Linked DNA regions of Oryzias latipes. The protein of the gene in region 3 purifies or fractionates together with the protein of the main gene of each other region. This does not show direct contact. Links are inferred from orthologs where the notes say so. Each region holds a gene or a part of one and is shown on either strand. Other genes may lie near its edges.

Region 1 (7,129 bases), on a different chromosome or scaffold from region 3:
AGGAAAAAAAATCTCAAAACGTGAAAGAGAAACAAAAATCTTGCAACTGCTGCAACTCCAGCTCCTTTGTAGGGCTCACGTGATACATAACTCTCTGCCACTTTCTCAATAACACCCACATTAACGTTAGTAGGAAGAAGCGGAGCTCCCCAAACCTTCCTCCTGTGACTTATGTCCAACAGAAATACCGTACTCTGGCTGCACTTCCAGATATAAAAACATAATCAAGATGGATCAGCTTGCCTGAACATAAAATGAACTTTAATATGGTCTATGAAAAGAAAAGAAAATGTGTATATATATATAAGGGGGACGTGTCCATTAACTTAAACTAATATAATAACATAAGTATTTGCCCCATTTATGAAAAAAAAGATTTAAGAAGAAAGAAAAGAACAGTCAGGTGTAAAATACCGTGGCTGTTTATGCTGCGGTGCACTATGTGCTGTCTTTCTGCACTGCCATGGTGAACAGATTTATTTATTTTAAAAAGCACAAAAGCATCCATCGGTATTCACGTTCACTCACAGGATCATCCTGGTACGCTGTCCGTCATCTTGCTGCAAAAGCCGCTTTCTGCCGCTACTTCCGTGTCTCTGTGAGCTTTCAAAAGGGGTAAAAATAAAAGCAAGAATGGTCGATCTATTATTGTCTCGATGAAAATCAGAAAAATATCATAAGATTTAGCTAGCTGCTTCGCCTACCGGACTTAGCTTTTAGCTCCTAGCATTGCAAACATGACTGTGGCCAATACCCCAAGATGCATCACGAAAAGCATGTTGGGTAAGTATCTTGTGGGAATGGAATAGTATTTCGTCCGAACGAGATATTAATCTGTGGAAACAAGATATATTTTAATTTTTTGATGTCAGGACACGGGCTCCATACTTTCCGTTCTCAGTTTTCGCTGCTGAGCAGATCCTATTTATACGCGGGGGCGGGGCTTTGATCTCATTGTTCTTATTTATATGTGGGGGCGGGGCTTTGAGCTCATGATTTCCCATGTTTCCCAAAGAGCTCATGGTGTTCTCCTTCAGAACGGCGTTCTTTTATGTCGCGGCCTGTGCCCCTCCACTTTGACGTAGTCATTGAACTTTTCCCGCTCTCCCTCATTGGTTGATTATTTTCAGCGCGACTTTGTGCTTTTTGAGCTTGTCAATCAATCTCTTCTGCACGTGCAGCTAGCCAACGTAACGCAAATCTTCATCGTGATTAGATTCTTGTTTTTGTTCTAATACTGAACTCTTTTTCCATGAAGGTTTGAACTTTGAGAATTTAAACGAGAAAAAAAAGTGTAGAAAATGAAAAACCTGTTTTTTCCACCTGCGGAATATTGCTAAGATCAGAAATCTACTTTCTAAGAGTGATGCTGAAAAACTCATCCATGCATTTGTTCCGTCGAGGCTGGATTACTGTAACTCCTTGTTAGCAGCGTGTCCTAAGAGTTCCTTAAGAAGTCTCCAGCTTGTTCAGAATGCAGCAGCTAGATTGTTAGCAGGAACTAGCAGAAGAGATCACATCACTCCTCTGTTAGTTTCACTTCACTGGATCCCAGTTGATTCCAGAATCAAGTTCAAGATCCTCCTGTTAACCTATAAGGCCTTACATGGAATGGCCCCGTCCTATATTAAGGACCTCATAGTCCCTTACCATCCAATCAGAACACTTCACTCACTAAATGCAGGACTGCTTGTGGTTCCTAGAATTGGTAAAAGTACGGTTGGAGGTAGAGCGTTTAGCCACCAAGCCCCTGTCTTATGGAATAAACTCCCAGCTCATATAAGAGAGGCCGACTCAGTTTCTACATTCAAAGCTAGACTGAAAACATTCCTCTGTGGACTGGATTATTATCAGACTAGTTAGTATTCAGAGATTATTTAACTTAATGTGTTTCCTGTCTGCATTTTAACCCATCTTTGACCTGACATGACTCCAGCACCACACACACTTAAAGGCATGATCTGATCTCACTGCAACCACACGAACATTTTCAAGGGACCTCCAGATCCTGCCTGCACTACAACCAATCCACGTCTGTACCCAAAGCCAACCGACGATCTTTATTGAATTGTGTTCATGATCCTTTGATTTGATGTTTTACACTACATTTATCTGCACAAAGCCCATCGAGACGACTGTTGAGGTGATTTTGGGCTATACAATGAGCTATACAGTTTAGCTCGTGCTGGCTTGCAGCGCCTTCCGTCCGTGAAACCAGGGTTCGACTCCGGGCTGCTCCCTGTTCCCTTCTCTACCTCTGCCGGTTCCAAGTCCGGTTTGAGAAGGTTGCGTCAGGAAGGGCATCCGGCGTAAAACATTGCCAAATTTACCATGCGACTTGTTCGCTGTGGCGACCCCTGATGGGAGAAGCCGAAAGTGGAAGTAAGTAAGTAAATGAGCTCAAAGCCCCGCCCCCACGGAGTAATAGGATGAGTTCAGGGGTGAAAACTTGAAAGCTGAAAGCAAAGAGGGAGAAATGATGAAACAAGTAGAAAAAAAAATGTTCATTTTTTTATTATTTGGTCACAGTTTTATTTTTATTCAAGTTTTAAATGTACATTTTTTTTTCAAGTTATTAATATTTCTTGTAAGTTTACAATACATGTTTCAAAGGTATAATCTGGTTTTTCCTTTATTCTAAACCGAGTCTAATTGGACCCCACAGCAGATCAGCTTTTGTTACGTTTTCTGGCTGCAGTAAGACAAAAAACAGCTTTATAAGTTGGTCCAGGCATCAACATGACAGTCAGAGGTACTGGGGGGGTACTGGGGGGGTACTGGGGGGCGTGGAACAGCCCACTGGAATGAGAAGTGCACTTTCAGAGGTCCATTCAACTCCATGGACACCAGAGTTCAGGTGGTCCGCCTGCTGCTGGTCCCCCGTCAGCCATGAGGCAATGTCCTGGAACTGAAGTGTTGACAGAGAAACAGACTGACAAGGTCACCCTAAAGGTCGTGTCTCACAGCCACTACGCACGTGTTCCACGTATGAAATGTTGGTCATCCGTGATCCATGCGTGATCTATGTCATTTTTGTGAGATTCCTCCAGAAATGTGTGTCTTTCCAGGAGCGTTCCACGTTTGTCTAACAGACTTTTCATGCATGAACCACTGATGTGTAACTTTTAGATCACGTATACGGCGCACAGATCACGTTCAGATGACATCATTGATGCATGAATCACTGATGAATTACAGATAAACATCACAATAATCACACGCTTCATGTTCTACGTTGGTTTACGTGTTCTTAGCGTGTTTATTCCTACTTCTTCTGTGGTTTTAACGTGGTTCATTCCTGATACATCTGTGAACATTTCACCTAAAGACCACAACTTTCTCACTTATGATTCACGTCTGACCAGTTTACATCCAAACGTACGTAGAGGCTGTGGGACGCGGCGTTTACCTGCATCAGGAAGGACATTCCTCCCACCTGCAGGTGAGACGAGGACTTCCTGTTTAACCTCATGAAAAGGATTCAGTTATACAACTAAACCTTCTTCAGTTGTAGTTCTGATCTGGACAGACGGTCATCTGTGTTGCCGCTCAGAGACCGTTTCCTATGTTTGCAGCGGTTATGGAAAATGATTCAATCTTCTGGGCCGTGGTTCTGTCAGCTGTTTCCGTCAGAAAGCCGGCTTTAGTTTGCTGACATCTTGCGGATCATGTAGTTGAGGATTCCTCCGTGGTGGAAGTAGGTCAGCTCCACGTCGGTGTCAAACCTCATTCGCACTTGGAAGGTTTTCCCAGAGTCCAGCTGTGAGGGCAGGAGAAGCTGGTGAGACCGCCTCTTCACATTAGCACCCGTGAGACCGCCAAACCCACCTTCACATCCGCCAGCATCCTGGGCGTGAGCGGCTCTGGGATGCTGATGCTGTAGCGCTCCCGGCCCGTCAGGCCCAGGCTGTCCGCTGAGTCTCCTGGCAGATACTCCAGGGGGATGACTCCCATCCCCACCAGGTTGCTGCGGTGGATCCTCTCATAGCTCTCAGCCAGAACCGCCTTGATGCCCTGGCAGAGAGTCAGAGAAAACCCGTGAAACTCTGCCGGTAGAGTCTGAGCGACATCTCCCACAGAACGTCTTCTCACCAGCAGGAACGGGCCTTTGGCCGCCCAGTCTCTGGAGCTCCCGGAGCCGTACTCTTTCCCCGCCAGAACCAGCAGCGGCTCACCGGACTGCCGGTACCTCTCTGCAGCATCGAACACGTCCAGCTGCAGAAACAGAGGAAGTGGACTTTACACGGAGCGGCTGAAGAGAGAAAGTTAGAATGAGAGACACAGCACTCTGCTGACATCAGCATGAGGACAAAGGTCGAGTCCCACAGACACCACGTACATTTGGAGAACTGGTCATACCTGGAAAAAGTGACATACGGGGGTCTTTATGTTCACAGATGTATCAGGAATGAACCACGTTAAAACCACAGAAGAAGTAATTAATGCAGAAGTTAATGCACTTCGCAGAATTAACCGTCGGTGCGTTACTTTCTGATAATGCACACTTTAAAGGCCAGTACCCCGTTTATACCACGGTCACTAATAAAAGAAATAAATATTTAATCCAGTTTTAGTCCTTTATCCTAGTTATTTTTTCAGTTTGGATTCATTTTTTTCACAAAAAGCGGTCTATTTGGTAGGTGGTGCGGCGCGTTGTCACATTACCGGCTCAGCCGGCGCCGACCTCGAGTGCAGCGGCAAAGGAAAACGATATCTATGCTGATGATCACGATGTGTTCAACCGCTTGTTTTTGTCCAGATGATGAAGCTAACGTTTGTTTGAAAGAAGCCGGCGCCGTGATTCAGAACATTTAAGCTATGTGACCGGAACATGTTTTTGGGGCGTGCGGTTAACACTTTTTAATGCACACCCAGCAGCCAATCAGAATCAAGTATTCACTCAGACCATGGTAAAGTAGGAATAAACACGCTAAGAACACGTAAACCAACGTAGAACATGAAGCGTGTGATTATTGTGATGTTTATCTGTAATTCATCAGTGATTCATGCATCAATGATGTCATCTGAACGTGATCTGTGCGCCGTATACATGATCTAAAAGTTACACATCAGTGGTTTTCATCCTGTAAAAAGCTGAAACCCTCAACATTCATCTGAGCACATTGATGAACACAAAAAACACGTACGGATGACGTAGATCACACACAGATCACGGAAGACCGACATTCATACGTGGAAAACGTGCGTAGTGGCTGTGCGACACGGCCCTCCGCCACCAGTAACGTAAGCCTGACCAGTCCAGCATCGAACACGTATGTTTTTAGACGGCTGATTCCACAGAAAGGTAAAAAGCAAAGAGACGGCGAGCGACGGGACAAAGAGAGAGAGCGGCGGCAGCAGTCTGACCGTTTCTCCGCTCGGCAGGTGGACGGTCTGCGGCGCCTGCTTGCCCAGGAACTTGTTGAAGAGGCGGATGTTTGCGAACGTCCCTCTGGCCATGACGGCGTCGTTTCCTCGCCGCGAGCCGTACGAGTTGTAGTCTCGAGGAGTCAAACTGGAGAAACAGAGGAGAAGAAAAGAAGAAGAATAGCAGGAATTCTAATTCTGTTCTTTAGCGCCGCAGGACTCACACAAGTGTGTGCACAGAAAGAGACGGCACATTTACCCTCGGTCTGCCAGGTAACGAGCTGCCGAACTGTTCCTGGCGATGTTTCCGGCAGGAGAGATGTGATCGGTGGTGACCGAGTCTCCCAGGTTGAGCAGCACGTACGCATCCTTTATGGAGCGGGGGGGCTGCAGCTTCAGGGTCTGATGGGAGGAGTTGTGGTTGTAATGTGGTAGCAACACCATCATCACCATCATCACCATCATCACCATCATCACCATCAGCACCATCATCACCATCATCACCATCATCAACATCATCAACATCGTCACCATCGTCACCATCATCACCATCATCACCATCAGCACCATCAGCACCATCAGCACCATCAGCACCATCAGCACCATCATCACCATCATCACCATCATCACCATCAGCACCATCATCACCATCAGCACCATCAGCACCATCATCACCATCATCAACATCATCACCATCATCACCATCGTCACCATCAGCACCATCAGCACCATCGTCACCATCAGCACCATCATCACCATCGTCACCATCATCACCATCAGCACCATCGTCACCATCGTCACCATCAGCACCATCGTCACCATCGTCACCATCGTCACCATCGTCACCATCAGCACCATCATCACCATCAGCACCATCAGCACCATCGTCACCATCGTCACCATCAGCACCATCATCACCATCATCACCATCATCACCATCATCACCATCGTCACCATCAGCACCATCAGCACCATCGTCACCATCGTCACCATCAGCACCATCATCACCATCATCACCATCATCACCATCAGCACCATCGTCACCATCATCACCATCAGCACCATCGTCACCATCATGACCATCTACACCATCTGCACCATCTGCACCATCATCACCATCAGCACCATCATCACCATCATCACCATCGTCACCATCATCACCATCATCACCATCGTCACCATCATCACCATCATCAACATCATCACCATCATCACCATCGTCACCATCAGCACCATCAGCACCATCGTCACCATCATCACCATCAGCACCATCGTCACCATCATGACCATCTACACCATCTGCACCATCATCACCATCAGCACCATCATCACCATCTGCACCATCGTCACCATCATCACCATCACCATCAGCACCATCAGCACCATCAGCACCATCATCACCATCACCACCATCACCATCAGCACCATCATCACCATCATCACCATCGTCACCATCATCACCATCATCACCATCACCATCAGCACCATCATCACCATCATCACCATCGTCACCATCATCACCATCATCACCATCGTCACCATCGTCACCATCAGCACCATCATCACCATCAGCACCATCATCACCATCGTCACCATCAGCACCATCATCACCATCATCACCATCATCACCATCAGCACACACTGGCTTCCTGCTGTTTTATTCAGCTTCCTCATCGCCACATGTGATGCAGATTTTCAAAAATATCTTTCTGGGAGAACATGAGAAGTTTTAGAAACATCTTTACCAAACCCTCAAAGAACG
Region 2 (7,794 bases), on a different chromosome or scaffold from region 3:
AGACCCAAAATAACAGATAGTTTAGAAAAGGATTTCTAATAGAATGTGTTTTATTTCGTCACAGAACTCTTCCATCTCCTCTTTTGTCCAAAACTAAAAAACAAACGACTGCAGCGACAGCAGATCTAAACATCAGCATGTCTGAGCTGAATCAGCTTTTGTGTTTATTTATTTTGTTTTAATTGTTTACATTTTATTGTAGATATAATTTATTGTTTCCTTCTAGCCAGGACTCCCTTGAAAAAGAGATTCTTGATCTCAATGGGACATTTCTTCGGTAAATAAAGGTGAAATAAAATTAAGAAATAAAAATTCACTTCAGACGTCCGTTTTCTGCAGAAAAAGGTTTCCCGCCCTTTACCCTTTCAGAGTAAAAGCACGGGTTTATGCACTGTGCTGCTTTACGAGACTGGAGGAAAACTGGTGTCTTGTTTCAGCGTCACGGCGTGTCTCCTCACCAGAGTCTGCAGCGCGTCCAGCTTGGCGCTCTGAACCTCTGAGTCCAGTTTCTCGATGAGGAGGGGGAACAGAAACTGTGGGAAGCCGAACAGAAACGTTTGCCGGAGAATGTTTGCTCAGGGGATCGAGTCAGAAGAAGCAGACCCGCCGTCGTTACCTCGGCAAACTTTGGCGTTCCGGTGAGGACGGCCCTCAGAGCCTGAACCAGCTCCTCTTTGGTGATGCCGTGGGGGTCGTTGGGGGGCTGCAGTGGACCAGGAGGGGGTTTTGGAAAAAGAATAGGAGGACAGGTTAGATGAAAAGTTATCCTGGAATCGCGTCCTGATCTAAAGAGTTCAGATGTCAGAACCCTGGAGAACCATGTCAGAGATCTGCACAGACGCTGCTGCAGATGCTGCAGACGCTGCTGCAGATGCTGCCGACACAGCTGCAGACGCTCCTGCAGACGCTGCTGCAGACACTGCTGCTGACACTCCCACAATCTCCGGGGGCTCAAAAAAAACCCGGCAAAACCAAAACACACATGTCAGGGATATTTAAAGTAAGTTTTGAAATTATTATGGGATGGCAAAAGGTGGCAAAGTGTAAAATTGGGCGATTTTCAGATGGGGGCAGTGCGACTTAAACTTTTGCTCGCACATTTTTTACCAGGACATTGTAGATATGAACATATTAGGAATGTGGGCGGGGTTGACAAAAAACCTCAGTTGCTAAGGAAATCCAAAAATGTATTCCTCTAAAAATGACATTGATCTGTCCGTCGGCCTCAAACGACCAAAAATTGAAATGGTTGCTATGGAGACAAACGTACATAAAAGGCACCGTTATGACAAAAGCGTGTTTTTTTAATGAATTTGTGCAGCTCTCGGGTGGCAGGGACAGACAGGGAGAGAGAGGGACATGTAGCAGATCCTGAAGATAATAGAGCGACATATTTTACTTTAGCTGATTTTTCTCCAGAGAGGAGAGGATGGAGACCCCAATGAGGAGCACGAATGCCCAGATCACACTTGTTTTTTGGGGGGAGGAGCAACAGTTTTCTCTGGCGGTCTGCAGACGTCGTCAACAGGAACTTACCGGGGTGAAGTCGATGGGGAAATAGCAGGAAGTCACTTCAAAGAGCTCCTCTGCGAATTTACCTGAGACAGCAGACAGGAAGGTTGAGAGAAGGAAACCGTGACATCACCAACAGACGGGGGGGGAGGAAGGTCTTCTCACCCAGATCGTATCCTTGGACGATGAGGTTTCTGGCGATCCTGAAGGCCAGCAGCAAGTTGCGAGGGTCTCTCTCGCCGTCCATTGATTGGACGAAACCAAAGACAAAGTCGGCTCCCAAACTCTTCAGCTCTGAATGGAGGATTGAGAGGACGTGAGAGACCGCCAAACGCATAGAGTGTCAGATATTTGTATGGATACTATAAACAAACGTTATTGACAATTGGAGAAATTAGAAAGAATTTAAATAATCAAATCATTAATTCAGTTTATCAAACAAGCCTAAACTGGTTTGGAGCGACCCGCAGTTCACCAAGTGACCACTAGAGCACGGTCTCACAAATGTCAGCTAGATCCTCTAGATCAGGTTAGATCCTCTACTCTAGAAGCGCCTCTCTCTTTATAAAGCTTCTGATGGCTCTGCATCTCCTGGGACGGGCAGCACAGAACCCCTTCACTTTGAGGAAGACTCTTACCGGCTTCCCTGGTCTCCATCAGGTTGGTGAGCATGTTGTAGACACACGCTCGCTCTGCAAGCATCAGCGACTGAGAGACAAAAAACAACAACGTCAAGATAGACCTCGAGACAAACGGCACGGAGCAGACCTTTACCGGAAAACAGGAAGTGGAGGAGATCCTGGTTTCTTCATGGAGAACCTCACCTGGACGTGGACGTCCTGGAACAGCGACCTCAGCATGGACACGGCCGAGCCGGGAGGCAGCGCCGCACACTTGGTCTGAGGAGAAACCAACACAAACTTACAAGGAGGCTCCAGCAGCGCCTCCGTCTGAAACCGGGTCCCCCAAGTTTACCAAGGCGAGCAGCCCCCGTAGGACGGGCGGAGTGGTGACGTGATGGTCTTTGAGGCGGTTCTGGTAGAAAGCCATGAGCACTTCCACTGCGATGGGACAACAGGATGTCAACAACGCTCCTCACTTTGAGCAGACGAAAAGGCTTGGTGTTCTGACCTTCTTTCTGCGACAGCTCTGCACGGCCGTCCTGTAGGACCTCGGAGAGCAGCTGGACGCCGCGGGCGCGAGTCTGCGGCTGCGAGCTGGTCAGGCTGGGCCTGCGGGTGGACGGGAAGTCGATTGAAAACAAGAACGGCGTCACTTTTTTGTGTTTTTGTAAAAAAGTAAAGGAGAAAAAGACAAAGGCTCACCCCAACGCTTCCACTAACTGCAAAACTGTAAACGCTCCATCTTTGACACCTGAGCAAGAATCAATAATATGTCAACAAAAGCTTAAATAATCCATATTATACCACGGTCCGGGTCTCAATTCTGATTGGCTGCTTGATGTGAACCATCAGCGTATTTATCGCTTTCCTTTGCCGCTGCAGTGGAGGTCGAAGTAAGAACGCGCCCGCCGCCTTACGTGCAAATAGGACCACGGTAACGGAAACAATGAGTACATATATAGAATAAAGTTGTACAATTCTGAGAAAAATAAAGACAAAATTTTACAAGGAAAAAAAATGTACAAGAAAAAACTTTAAAAAAAGGGAAAACGACAATTTTCTAACATAAAGCTGTAAATGTTTTACTTCAAAAGTTGCAATATTGCAAGGAAATAGTCATACTTTTTCAAATAAGTAAATAAATAAAAGTCTGAATTTTAAAAGGAAAAAACTAAAAACTGATTTAATATGCATTTCTTTTGGAAAATTTTAGGACTATTTGCGTCAAATTTAGACTTCTCTCAGATTATTTTACAGTTCAATTCTCATAATAAAGTTTGGACTTTTTTCCTCATAATTTCACGACTGAATTCCTGTAAAAATTTGAACTTTTCTCTTATAATGTTACAACTTCATTGTCAAATATTTGCTTTTCTTTCATGGTGGCCTCAGTATTCCGTCATAACAGCCTTTAAATAAATATAGTATCAGGGGAAAAACAAACTTCAGTAAATTTGATTGACATAAGTGATCGTTTTATTTTGAAAGATCCCCCTCTGTTTACTTTGGGTATAATTAAAACTCCTTTAATTTGATACGTCATAAGTTATCAGGTCTGTGCTGAATCGGAACCGAATCGGTTCGGTAGTCTGGACGTGTTTCCCTGCTTTGCCCACACAGACAAACTCGGGATCAAAGGTAAATCGGGGGTTGAGGGTTCAATGACAGGATCCTCCTCGCGCCCAGCCAGCAGCTAGCTAGCAGCAGGCACGAGACCACAGCAGACTGCAGGTACAGTCATGGTTTCAGTAAACAAAGATAGCTGCGAGTTCCTGCCGCCCCGGAAAAAGGGCAGATTCATGACATGTTTAGTGTCAGGAGGAGCTTCTCACGCAGCATCCCGCACAGGATGTTGTGACGCTAAGTTTAGCTAGTTAACCCCCACGCACCTTTATGGGAAACTAACGGCTCCAGCTCAGTTTTCCACACAAACCCGCTGGTAAATGTGAGGACAAACACCGGACACGACTGCTGTACCTTTAGCGGCGTCCTTTGCTTTGCTGTCCTGCAATCCGGAGACGAATTCCTCCACCAGAGACAGCAGCAAGGCACCGTCCGCAGCCATCGCGCTTCCTCCACGCTGCTGACACTGCGCATGTGCAGAAAGTTCAAACGCCAAAGTCCAACTTTTTTTTTCTTGGTTAAGAAAAAATATAAATATATTTTTAAAAAATATTGTTTGTGCTTTTAAATAAAATAAATATAGAGATTTTACACAAAAGAACGACACATTTATGTCCAAGACACCATTACATTCAAAGTATCTCAAAAAACATAAACAAGTATAAATGTAACAATTTATTAAGCTTGATCATTTTTGTTTGGTCATAAAGGTGTTATTGGAGATGTCATACTTTTATAAGTGCATTAATTAAGCAGTGAAATATGTTTCAAGCTGGACTAAAAGCTGAAACCGTTTGATAACATGATCTGGATTAAAATCCCAGAAGATATTAAACTACGTAAAATATTTTTTTGTTCATCGTATGACTGCATTCATTCTATCTAAGTTTTCATGTGACGTTATAATAAACTGGAATTCACACGTTTTTGTTCAGTATTTTTTTAAACTATATGGAAAAATCCTAATTTGTTTGGATAAGTTTGAAAAATACCTACAAAAAAGTGAAATATTCATAAGAATCTGTACTTTATTGATAGTATTTTTACTTTGTGCCCTTTTAAAATGTACTTATTGTCATTGTGTATTGTTTTTTCTCTCCTAATATCAAAGACGGTTTGAACCATTATTGTGACGTCACTGCTATCATTTATTTACGTTTCCTTCAGACCCACCTGCCTGGTTGTCTGCGCATGTGCAGAAAAGTTCGCCTGCCTTAGCTCGTTTCTGAACACTTTCTCAACCAGCAGCAACAGAAAGTGAGGAGTTTTTCCAAGTCTTTTGAAGAAAAGTAGTCCGGGAGCGCGTGAAGGGCGTGATACGGTTCTGCATTCAGCTCCGAGTGAAGCTCTACCTCCAGACCCTTTTATAGGGAAGATAAAACTCGGGGAAATGACATCGAGCACGCGGAAGTTTGTGTTTTCTGGCGGAGCTAGCTGGTTAGCCCAGTTAGCCTGTTAGCAAGAAAGCTTTTCTGTTTACAGTTGCAACTAAACCGAACTTTACCGGTTATTCAGACAACAGAAAAAAAGTTGTTAACGGTTCCCACCGGATTTCACCGCCTTGTTGTCACCGGATGACATATCCGGCTAGCAGCGCTGCACCTGCGGGTTCTGATCTTCGCCGGACTCGGTTCTTCGTCGCCATGGGCCCCGTTGGAAGCCAGTGAAGCCCCGCGGGGAGCGACCACAGCCCCTCCGGCCATGGGAGGATGCGTGGGGAGGTACTGGCGAGGCTGGGACGAGTCACAGAGCCGAGGTTCGTCCGGGAACGGTGGGTTCGGAGTTTGCTGTTTATATGACACTTTAGAGTAGCAAATGCAGCAGAGTCATAGAAAAAGACAAGAAAACGAGCTAAATGTAGGTTAATTAAACCTGGGGGGGGGGGGGGGGGGGGGGTATTATTTATGTTCTTATTTGACATTTATCTTCAACTATTTGACACCTGACACTGTTGTTTGACCCTAACTACTATGCAAACGAGCTTTAGCTGATTTGGTTGGACTTGAACCCGGAAAGGACACACATTTGAATGCGTGCAGGTGAGCTGGTACCTGAGGAACCTGTGACTGAATGGATCACGTGATCACGTGATGCAGCAGCGCCTCTGAACGCTGGTTTTAGGGTGCAAACAGGAACGTGGCCTCCTCTGCGTTTGACCTTGACCTGCATAAGAAGTGGTGGAATAGCTGCTCTCCTTTGTTTGCACAAGTATTGTCTGTAATCCGCCCAAAAGTTTGGGAATCTTCTGCAGTGCATACATACACACTCAACGCACATTTATTTGTAGAATGCGTGTATAGAAAGTTCAAAACCTATTGTTTATTCCATGTTTGTGCATCTCTTAACCTGGCGAAAGGTCCGGCTGAAGTTGAAGCACACGAGAGTGTAGAGGACGGTCGACCTGTGAGGCCAAATGCAAAAAAACAAAAGGGAGTCAAACAGCTTGCTTTGAAGGAAATGTTCTCCATTTGAACCTTTGATCGGAGCTCCTGCGGCGTGGCAGGAGTTCTTTAAAATAAAACGTTCGTCGTTCATGCAGGTGGATGCTTAAGAATGGGGCGGAGCAGGAAGCTTGTTTCTTCATCACAAATACGATGTTTTCCAAACCACGTTTTTTTCCGTCTGCTCCCGATTTGCATTGATTTGAATAAAGAAGACACTCAGAAACGGAATTTTGAGCTTCATTTTCTTTCCATTTGTCCTCCCATCATCAAAAGATGCTACAAGAACACGTTTAAAACTCCATTTTCATGGCAGTGCTTCTTTAAGCGAAGATGTTTACATGAATGTGCTTGCACTCTAATTCTACCTTGGTTTTATTTTGAAATGATTTCTATTTTTGCTTTTTTATTTGTATGCTCTTATTTTGAAACATGTTTACAGCAGTCTCTCTGAGGGTTTTGCTTTGAACCTTTCTGTGTTTTTGACAGTGATAGCTGTGGTCATATAAGGTCACCTTGGCGTGTGTCCATATATGTGTTGCGTTGGCGTTTACTCCAGTTTTACAGGATAAAACCAAGTTTTTCCAGGCAGCCACCGTTCACATTGCTTAGAGCATCAAACCACTGGGGCTGAGTGTGTTTTTGCACGTTAGTGTCTAGAATTTATTGAGGCTGTCGGAGCAAACATTCCTCTCGTATTTTACTGTGACTCATTTCCTGCTTCGCTTGCCGTCAGACACTCCCTCATTAACAGAGAACAAGTCCCATCATGCCCTGCGGCAATCGCTGACTCTCCAACCTGCAGACGCTTGTGTGACGGAGCAGAAATTGGGCGATGAAATGTGTGAGTGAATCCTTGTTTGTGGTCACGACTTTGGTCAGGTCAGCCTCGTTCAGCTGCTAATGTGAAGGTTTTTGCTGCTGATGAGCTTCCACAAGCGCCTGAGTTTGACAGCTGAAGGCTCGCAGGCGATGATGGACGACCATCAACGACCATCAACCCTCAGAGCTGCAAAAGCGTTGAAGAGGACGCTGCTGAGGAATGCAGGCGTCTCATCCAAACTCAAAAAGGGAGAAATGGTTTTGCTGCTGCTGAGAGAAACAGACTGAAGTTGTTCCTCCGGTCTGAAATGTGTCGTTTTATGTGCTCTATTTCTTACCAACCAGGCGTTTCCTCTTATTTCTGCTTTACCACAACTATTCCCATCAAACGTTTCAGAAATCTCTTTAAAGACTGAAAAGATGCAGTTTGAAAAAGATCATTTTGGTGTCGTAGAAAATACTGGGGGGGGGCTACAAGCACCCTGCTCTGCTCCATTCTGATCATCCACCTGCAGACAAACACATCCATGAACGTCTCTGTTTTCCTCGTCTGAGCTGGAATCTGGATCTAAACTGGATTGCTCGCCATTTTTGTTGCACCGCTAATGTTAGCTTGTGGTTGTGAGGGGCTGTGAGCTAACGGGAGAGCAAGTAAACAAAGGGATGATGGGATATCAGCTGCGGCTTAGCTCTGCACCCACCGTCCTGCCAACAACTCAGAGGTGGATGTCGAAAGAACGCCTTCCTCTCTGCAGAAACTATGTCCTAGAAAA
Region 3 (6,481 bases):
GCAAATGGTATTCCCAGGATAAAGTGCAAGAGTAAGGAGAAGTGACTTTCTCTGCTTCTTCGTTCTTTTGGAGACCAGCTGGCACGGGTCACTCTCCGGAGCGACAGCAGGCTCTGAAACCACACTGCAGGTTCTGGCAGCCGCTGGCGGTGTCGGCGTGAGGACCTGGAGAGAAAACACGTTGGCGTTGGTCATCTTCACCAGGGAAAAAAAGGAAAATAAAAAACTCGCCTATCACACCAACTATGTTTTTGAAACGGGAAAAACCAGAGTGGCTCCTGGGAGAAATCCTTACCTCATCACAGCAGCAGTGGTTATGTACTCTACAACACAATCTGAGCGTGTGGGGTTAGTTGAAGCTGAACTGCCACCGTCACAGGCCTACTGCCTGCAGCGGAGGAAATAACTATTTGATCCCATGGTGATATTGTAGGTTTGTTCACTTAAAAAGAAGTCTTTTCTCTTATTGGTAGGTTCATTTGAACATTGAGAGATAGAAAATCAATGAATTAACTTTAGACATTTTACTTTTATTTGGGTTTCATCGAGGTAAACAAGTATTTGATCCCTCTAGCCTGGAAAACGTAGTCCTTTTGTGGCAAAACCCTGATTAGTAGCACAGAGGTCAGATGTTTCTTGGAGTTTCTGCACATAGGAGGAATTTTGGTCCACTTTTCTTTGCAAATGACTTCTAAATTATTCAAGTTTGTCTTCTGAGCTTCAGCTCTCTTTCTGGAGACTGGCTGAAGCCACTCCATGACCATTATATGCTTCTTTAGCCGTTCCTTGTATGTTTTGGGTCATGACCCTGTTGGAGAACCCATCCACGAACCATTTAAGCCTCCTGGTGGAGAGAAGCTGGTTGTCACTCAGGATTTGACAGAATATGGCTCCGTCAATCCAGAAACACCCCCAAAGCATTATGTTTCCACCTCCATGCTGAACAACTTTTTTCCCTCCAGACTCATCGGGTTAAGTTGATGCCAAACAGCTGATCACAGCACCTTGTCCCAATCCCTCTCTACTCTAAAACCATGAAGGTGTTCATTGGTAAACATGTGGTGGGTCTGCACATGTGCCTTCTTAAGCAGGGCTACTTTGCCAGCACTGGAAGATGTTAAACCATGGTGGTTTCATGTGGTTTCCATGGTGACTATGGTTCCAGCTGCTTTGAGATCATCAACTAATTCCTGCCGTGTTGTTTTAGGCCGTTCCTTACTGTTGTCATAACTGTGGAAACCCCCCCAGGTGAGACTGTGTCTGGAGCCTCAAACCTACAGGTGGATTGATGGTCATGTTCTTGTGTTTTGGCACAATTACACAAACGGATGTCACCTTAACCTCCAGCTTCATGCCAATGGTTTTGTAGTCCATTCTGGTCTGCTTAAAATCAACTGAAAGCTCTTTAATCTTTCCCATGTTGGAGAGTTTGGAGTCTGACTGATTCTATGGACAGGTGTCTTTTCTACAGGTGATTATTTCAAACAGGTGCCTTCAATTCAGGTGACAGGTTGATCAGGATAGTCTAACTGGTCTGTGTGAACCAGAACTCTTAATGGTTACTAGGGGATCAAATACCCATTTCCTTTACTGAATCTATAAGCAGCTTCATCAAGAACTAAACATCAACAACAAGCATGACTTTGTGTCAGGGTGAAGATGAGCTGCTAGCAGCTTCGCTTGTGTTACCGTTAATGTTGTCGCAGTAATAGAAGTGCTCATCATTGAGGGATGGGCAGGCTGAGACCAGCTCCTGCAGCCCCACCTCAGTGATGGAGAGACAACCAGACAAGTTGAGATGCTCCATGACGGGAAGCCCTCCATGCTGGGACAAAGTCCTGAAACACAGATGGAGGGGGAGGTGAGTGGTGCTACTCCAGACTTAGCCTTATCAGGACGCTGTTTCCCATAGCAACTGCTATGGAGAGTATAACGGCTCTCATTGGTCAATGAGGCCATTGATTTCTGATAACTGATCCCTCATTGGGGATTAAATCTTTGCATAATAATGCTGGTTTCTCCACCTTAGTTAACACCTCAGGTGTTGAAATAGAAGCGTTTTTTACTGTGTTAGTGAGTCTTTGTGTAAAGAAATAGAGGATAACTACCTCAAGCCCAGGTCGGTGATTTGGTAACATCCAGAGAGACTGAGAAATTTCAGCGCCCGTTTAGCGGGTGAGCAGTCAGTCCTGTTTTCAGGCTGCAGACACTGCAGTCCTCCCAGTGGAGGGCATTTAGTCCGAGATCCTGCAGTGGCGTTCCTGCCGCAGCCCGACACGCTTTCGCGCACTGTAAACGTCCTGAGGGCGATGTCACCTGAGCAGCAGGTGGAGTGACCGCAGAATATTTCCCCCGACATGGCGTACTGCTGATGCAAATATGAGGCGTCCGACCCCATCCGGTGGCCTTGCCTTCTGCTCGTCCTGCAACAGCAAGAGCCGCCCATCAGCTGCGTCTCTACGAAGCTTTCAGGGAGGGGCATCCCGCCCCGCCGGCTCCACGCTGCAGCGTCCTCAATATCGGCCAGGTCGGAGGTCTCCACAACCCACACCGGCGTTGGGATGCAGGGCCCCCCCCAGCGCCGAGTCCCGTACTTGAAAACGATGGCCTGCTTCTTTCGCTCCAACGCGTGCAGGTTTCGCTCATCGATGTGCGCGGTGAAACTTTTCAACTGTGAGGTTTTGTCAGAGCAGGAGGAGGAGGAGGAGGGGAGTTCCCCTAACCCGGTAGACAGCTTCTTCAGGGTGAGATCGGTGATCTTCTCGCATCCCGACAAATCCAGGTGCTCCAGAGAACGACAAGCTCCCAGGAATGACCAGCTGGAGAAAAATGAGAACAAAGCTCAGTGTTCTGAGTTCCACGCAGACACAGATCCACATACATGTACGGTATATTTCTAATATCTATCTAATGACATAGTATTGTGAACTATTAGTACATATCGTTGAAAATTCAAAAACTACATCTTCATGAAGAGATAGCTTTGTTGTGTGTAATATTATTTGTGTAGTAATACATAATAATACGGGAACCACGGAGCCGGCAGCAGCTGCAGGGGCAGGACAGCCTAGTCAGACGGTCTCGCTCGCCATCGAAGAGGCACGCGGGGCGACCCGGGCCTCAACTAACACTCCTGTGGGCGAGAGTGGTCCTCTGCCGGGGACTTGACGCGCCGTGGGGCAGAAACAATGTTCTCAGTGTATTTAAACACACGTGTGGAGTGATGCATGTATCAGAGGGTGTTCTATTGGCCTTTCTGCATGTCAATCAAGTCATATACTTCTTGGAGAGGATTTTGATTCGCTAATTTAATTATATACATTTAAATTTGGGGGATTTTTTTATCTATGATGGCGCGTGATCTACCCACATGTCCTTTATCGCAATCGATGTAATGATGACCCCTGAAGAAGTGGTCCGACTGACTGTGATGTCATCCGTAGAAAATGATTTATTTCCAGCTCCAACCAAATGAAGTCAATTCTGTCGCCATTCAATCCACAGAACCAGATTCTAATTTAAAGGAAGTATTTTGTACCTGTCAAACACAGAGTCTGTCACATCAGTTTGAGTCAGATCCAGATGAGTGATGTTGGGGCAGAGGCTGACCATCTGACGGACCTGGAAAAGACATTTAAGCTTTCAGGCTCAGCTTAACATCCATCAAATCTCATGGCAGCAATGCAACTCTGACTGGACAAGCGCCGCATACCATTTTGCTTGAGACTGTTGAACTGTAGGCCAGAATAATGGATTTGACTGACGGACCCACAGCAGGGAGGAGGTTCTGGATGATCCCATTCAGGAGCTTCTTCTCTCTCTGCACCATATTGATAGCAAGCGAGCCCTCTGTGTGACCCGAAACATCTGACGAGAAGAACACTATCTAGTCACTACCTCATGAACACAATAAACTACCACACACTGCAGGTCCATCCACCTTCAACATTGGAACTTTTTTTTCCCCACTCAAACCCGGGGAAAAAACAATAGTCATGATGAAACTATTCACAGCACACACACATGACCCTGGTAACGTTCAGCTCATGCATGTTTGAAGTGATTATTGGCCCTCACCTGACTCGTCAATATCAGCGTCCTCGTCCCACTTCTGATAAGCTCGACCCTCATTCTCTCGACTCCTCACCCACTCTTCATCTGGCTCCTGATCCAGATCCCCAGGAGGGCCATTATAATGATCGCCTGTGTTTTAAAAAAAACTTTAGAAACAAGGATGCCTAAGCATCTACAAGATCATCTTTACCAGGAAAAACAACTACTTGGTTCAAAAAGAAAAGATGAAAACCATGAATTGAGGTTTACCTCGGGCCCAGCGAACAGGGTAAAGGTGCCTCCACAAAGAGCCGGTCTTGGCCAGCTGCCACCACAAACTGCACACCTGACTGCAGCGACACAGATCCTTAGGGCCCAAATAATGGAACAACCTCAGCATTATTTCTGCAGGAAGGTGTGAGATGTTGGTTGACATATTCTGCTTCTTCTCCAGGTCTGAGGATGGAGGGGGGAAAAAAAGAAGAGCATGTGAATGTTTTAAATACCACAATGATAAAATTATCTCAAAATAATCCATGTTCTGTACAAATATTGTTGGTATTTTACAGCAAAAAAAAAAAGGCTTCAAGTATCCTGCTAATTGTGTTTCCTATCACAGACGAACACAACTCCATCCATTCATTCATTTTCTATGTCTGCTTAATCCTGTCATAGGTCACAGGGATGCTGGAGCCTGTCCAGCTATGGTTGGGCTCCACTCTGGACAGTTTATCAGTTCATTAGAGGGCTGAACACAACTAACCCCAAATAAAGCCTTAACTAGTCTCATATTTTGGTAACGGGTCATAATATCTATCTGTTGCTGTTCATTTAAAAAAAAAACTGTTTCTCTGCTGGATTACATAAAAAGCCTTTTTAAAACATGACTGAAGATAAGACAAAAAAAGAAGTGTGTGGCCTTCAACAGACGCTTGACTCATCTTTGTCATGCACTTAACTGGAAACCTGTAACAAGTTTAGTCATTTGGACAAACACTCACCGTAGTCTGTCTTCTCATGATCCGAATATTTAAAGGCTTTCTGCAGCTCCTCAGCCTGCGACCACAGACGGAATCCCTTCAGCACACCGGCAGCACAGTCCCCGTGCTGTTGGCTGTGGTGCTGGGCTATCACCTTTTTCTTGATGTCTTTCAGCTCCTCGTAGGTGAAGTACTCCATGAGCATCGGCTGAAACACCTGCAACACATTTCCGTTAAAACACAGCTTGACGCTGAAAAGGATGAACAGGTGACATTTTTGATTATTGCTTATCCCGCATGATTATCTTGTACCTCCTCCTCTTCCTTCATGTGGGGCAGGAAGTCCTGCGTGAACGCCTCAAGTCTCTCCTTCAGCTGACGAGCATAGTTAAGCTGCTCACATTCATTCTAAAACCACAGAACAGACAGAAATCCCAGATCTTAGATCAGCTGCTCTTGGACAGTCATAAGCAGACGTTTACCACGCTTTAGGTATTTTGCATGATTCTAAAAGTTGCGCAAGGAAAATTTAACTTCTTTGTTTTCCTCGTCTGAGCTGGCTTCCGGCTCACGACTGTACAGCCGGTCAGCTCCAATATTGTAAAGAAAAAACCTGCATAACTATAGTTAAAAGACCACCGGGAACACTTTCAAAATAGACCAAGGATAATCGGGCTGGGTCTCTAATAGAATTTGAACTGTTAGTTTATAACCATCCTAGAGCCCTCAGGTGCAGGTCTGCTGGTGATCCCCAGGGTCAGAACAAAAAGCCATGGCAAGCCCACATTTTCAGCACTGTGGGCCTCACCAGTGAAGCAGCCTGCCTACTGATGCAAGGGCTGCATCCTCTGTGGAGGTTTTTAAGATAAACCTTAAGTAATCTTTTCAGCTTAGCTTTTAAGTTTTACAAGTAAGTTTTACATTTCCACATGTTTTAATACAGATTCATGGACTGTATCTCTGCTGGTTTCTGTATCCTGCGAATGTGTGTTGGGGGCTTTTATTATTATTATCGCACTATTTTTACAATTATTTTTATTGTTTTATTTTTTCTTTGAGGTGTACTGCAACAAGAAAAGTTTAATTGGAATTTATTCTCCCCAATGGTTTGCCACAGGAGCTAGACTTTTAGATGATCAGAGATTGTGAATACGAGTCAAATCTTCCCACACTCAATGTTTTGTGCTTTTTTTTTAAACAGATATTTCAACAATTTACAAATAAGTCTCTGCTGCAAATTAATATCTGTAGAAACTTTCAGACAGGAAGCAGGATCTCACTCCAAACTAAATAAAGAGATATTAGAGAGTTTGGCAGAGCGGATGTTCCAATTTACACAAATTCACGAATCCAAGAAAGCAGCTGAGATTGGAGTTTGCTGGAGGCTTGAGCCAAAACAATAACTTTTTATCTACTGTTCTTCAAAGGCTAAAGTTCGTGTCTGTTCA

What was found.
Region 1: the proteins of fbxl5 (region 3) and aco1 purify together in Homo sapiens (affinity purification with western blotting; 3 studies listed by BioGRID, with this or other methods). This does not show direct contact. The link is inferred for Oryzias latipes from reciprocal best matches to the Homo sapiens genes FBXL5 and ACO1.
Region 2: the proteins of fbxl5 (region 3) and mms19 purify together in Homo sapiens (affinity purification with mass spectrometry; 4 studies listed by BioGRID and IntAct, counting the BioPlex papers as one, with this or other methods). This does not show direct contact. The link is inferred for Oryzias latipes from reciprocal best matches to the Homo sapiens genes FBXL5 and MMS19.

Annotation. Positions count from the first base shown.
Region 1 is NC_019876.2:30,065,308-30,072,436, forward strand, and holds the end of aco1 (cytoplasmic aconitate hydratase), read right to left. Parts: coding exon 7,113-7,129; intron 5,770-7,112; coding exon 5,627-5,769; intron 5,516-5,626; coding exon 5,368-5,515; intron 4,216-5,367; coding exon 4,093-4,215; intron 4,015-4,092; coding exon 3,829-4,014; intron 3,761-3,828; coding exon 3,644-3,760; 3' UTR 2,499-3,643; downstream 1-2,498. UniProt on the Homo sapiens protein: Bifunctional iron sensor that switches between 2 activities depending on iron availability. Iron deprivation, promotes its mRNA binding activity through which it regulates the expression of genes involved in iron uptake, sequestration and utilization.
Region 2 is NC_019877.2:1,647,208-1,655,001, forward strand, and holds the start of mms19 (MMS19 nucleotide excision repair protein homolog), read right to left. Parts: upstream 5,040-7,794; 5' UTR 4,932-5,039; intron 4,225-4,931; 5' UTR 4,201-4,224; coding exon 4,113-4,200; intron 2,887-4,112; coding exon 2,838-2,886; intron 2,745-2,837; coding exon 2,644-2,744; intron 2,574-2,643; coding exon 2,488-2,573; intron 2,412-2,487; coding exon 2,337-2,411; intron 2,221-2,336; coding exon 2,151-2,220; intron 1,807-2,150; coding exon 1,678-1,806; intron 1,599-1,677; coding exon 1,537-1,598; intron 704-1,536; coding exon 617-703; intron 534-616; coding exon 459-533; intron 1-458. Other genes in the region: ubtd1 (ubiquitin domain-containing protein 1), read left to right, coding at 5,460-5,529. UniProt on the Homo sapiens protein: Key component of the cytosolic iron-sulfur protein assembly (CIA) complex, a multiprotein complex that mediates the incorporation of iron-sulfur cluster into apoproteins specifically involved in DNA metabolism and genomic integrity.
Region 3 is NC_019862.2:28,342,225-28,348,705, reverse strand, and holds part of fbxl5 (F-box/LRR-repeat protein 5), read right to left. Parts: intron 5,442-6,481; coding exon 5,346-5,441; intron 5,251-5,345; coding exon 5,055-5,250; intron 4,510-5,054; coding exon 4,324-4,509; intron 4,204-4,323; coding exon 4,078-4,203; intron 3,868-4,077; coding exon 3,713-3,867; intron 3,622-3,712; coding exon 3,539-3,621; intron 2,820-3,538; coding exon 2,109-2,819; intron 1,839-2,108; coding exon 1,690-1,838; intron 166-1,689; coding exon 89-165; 3' UTR 1-88.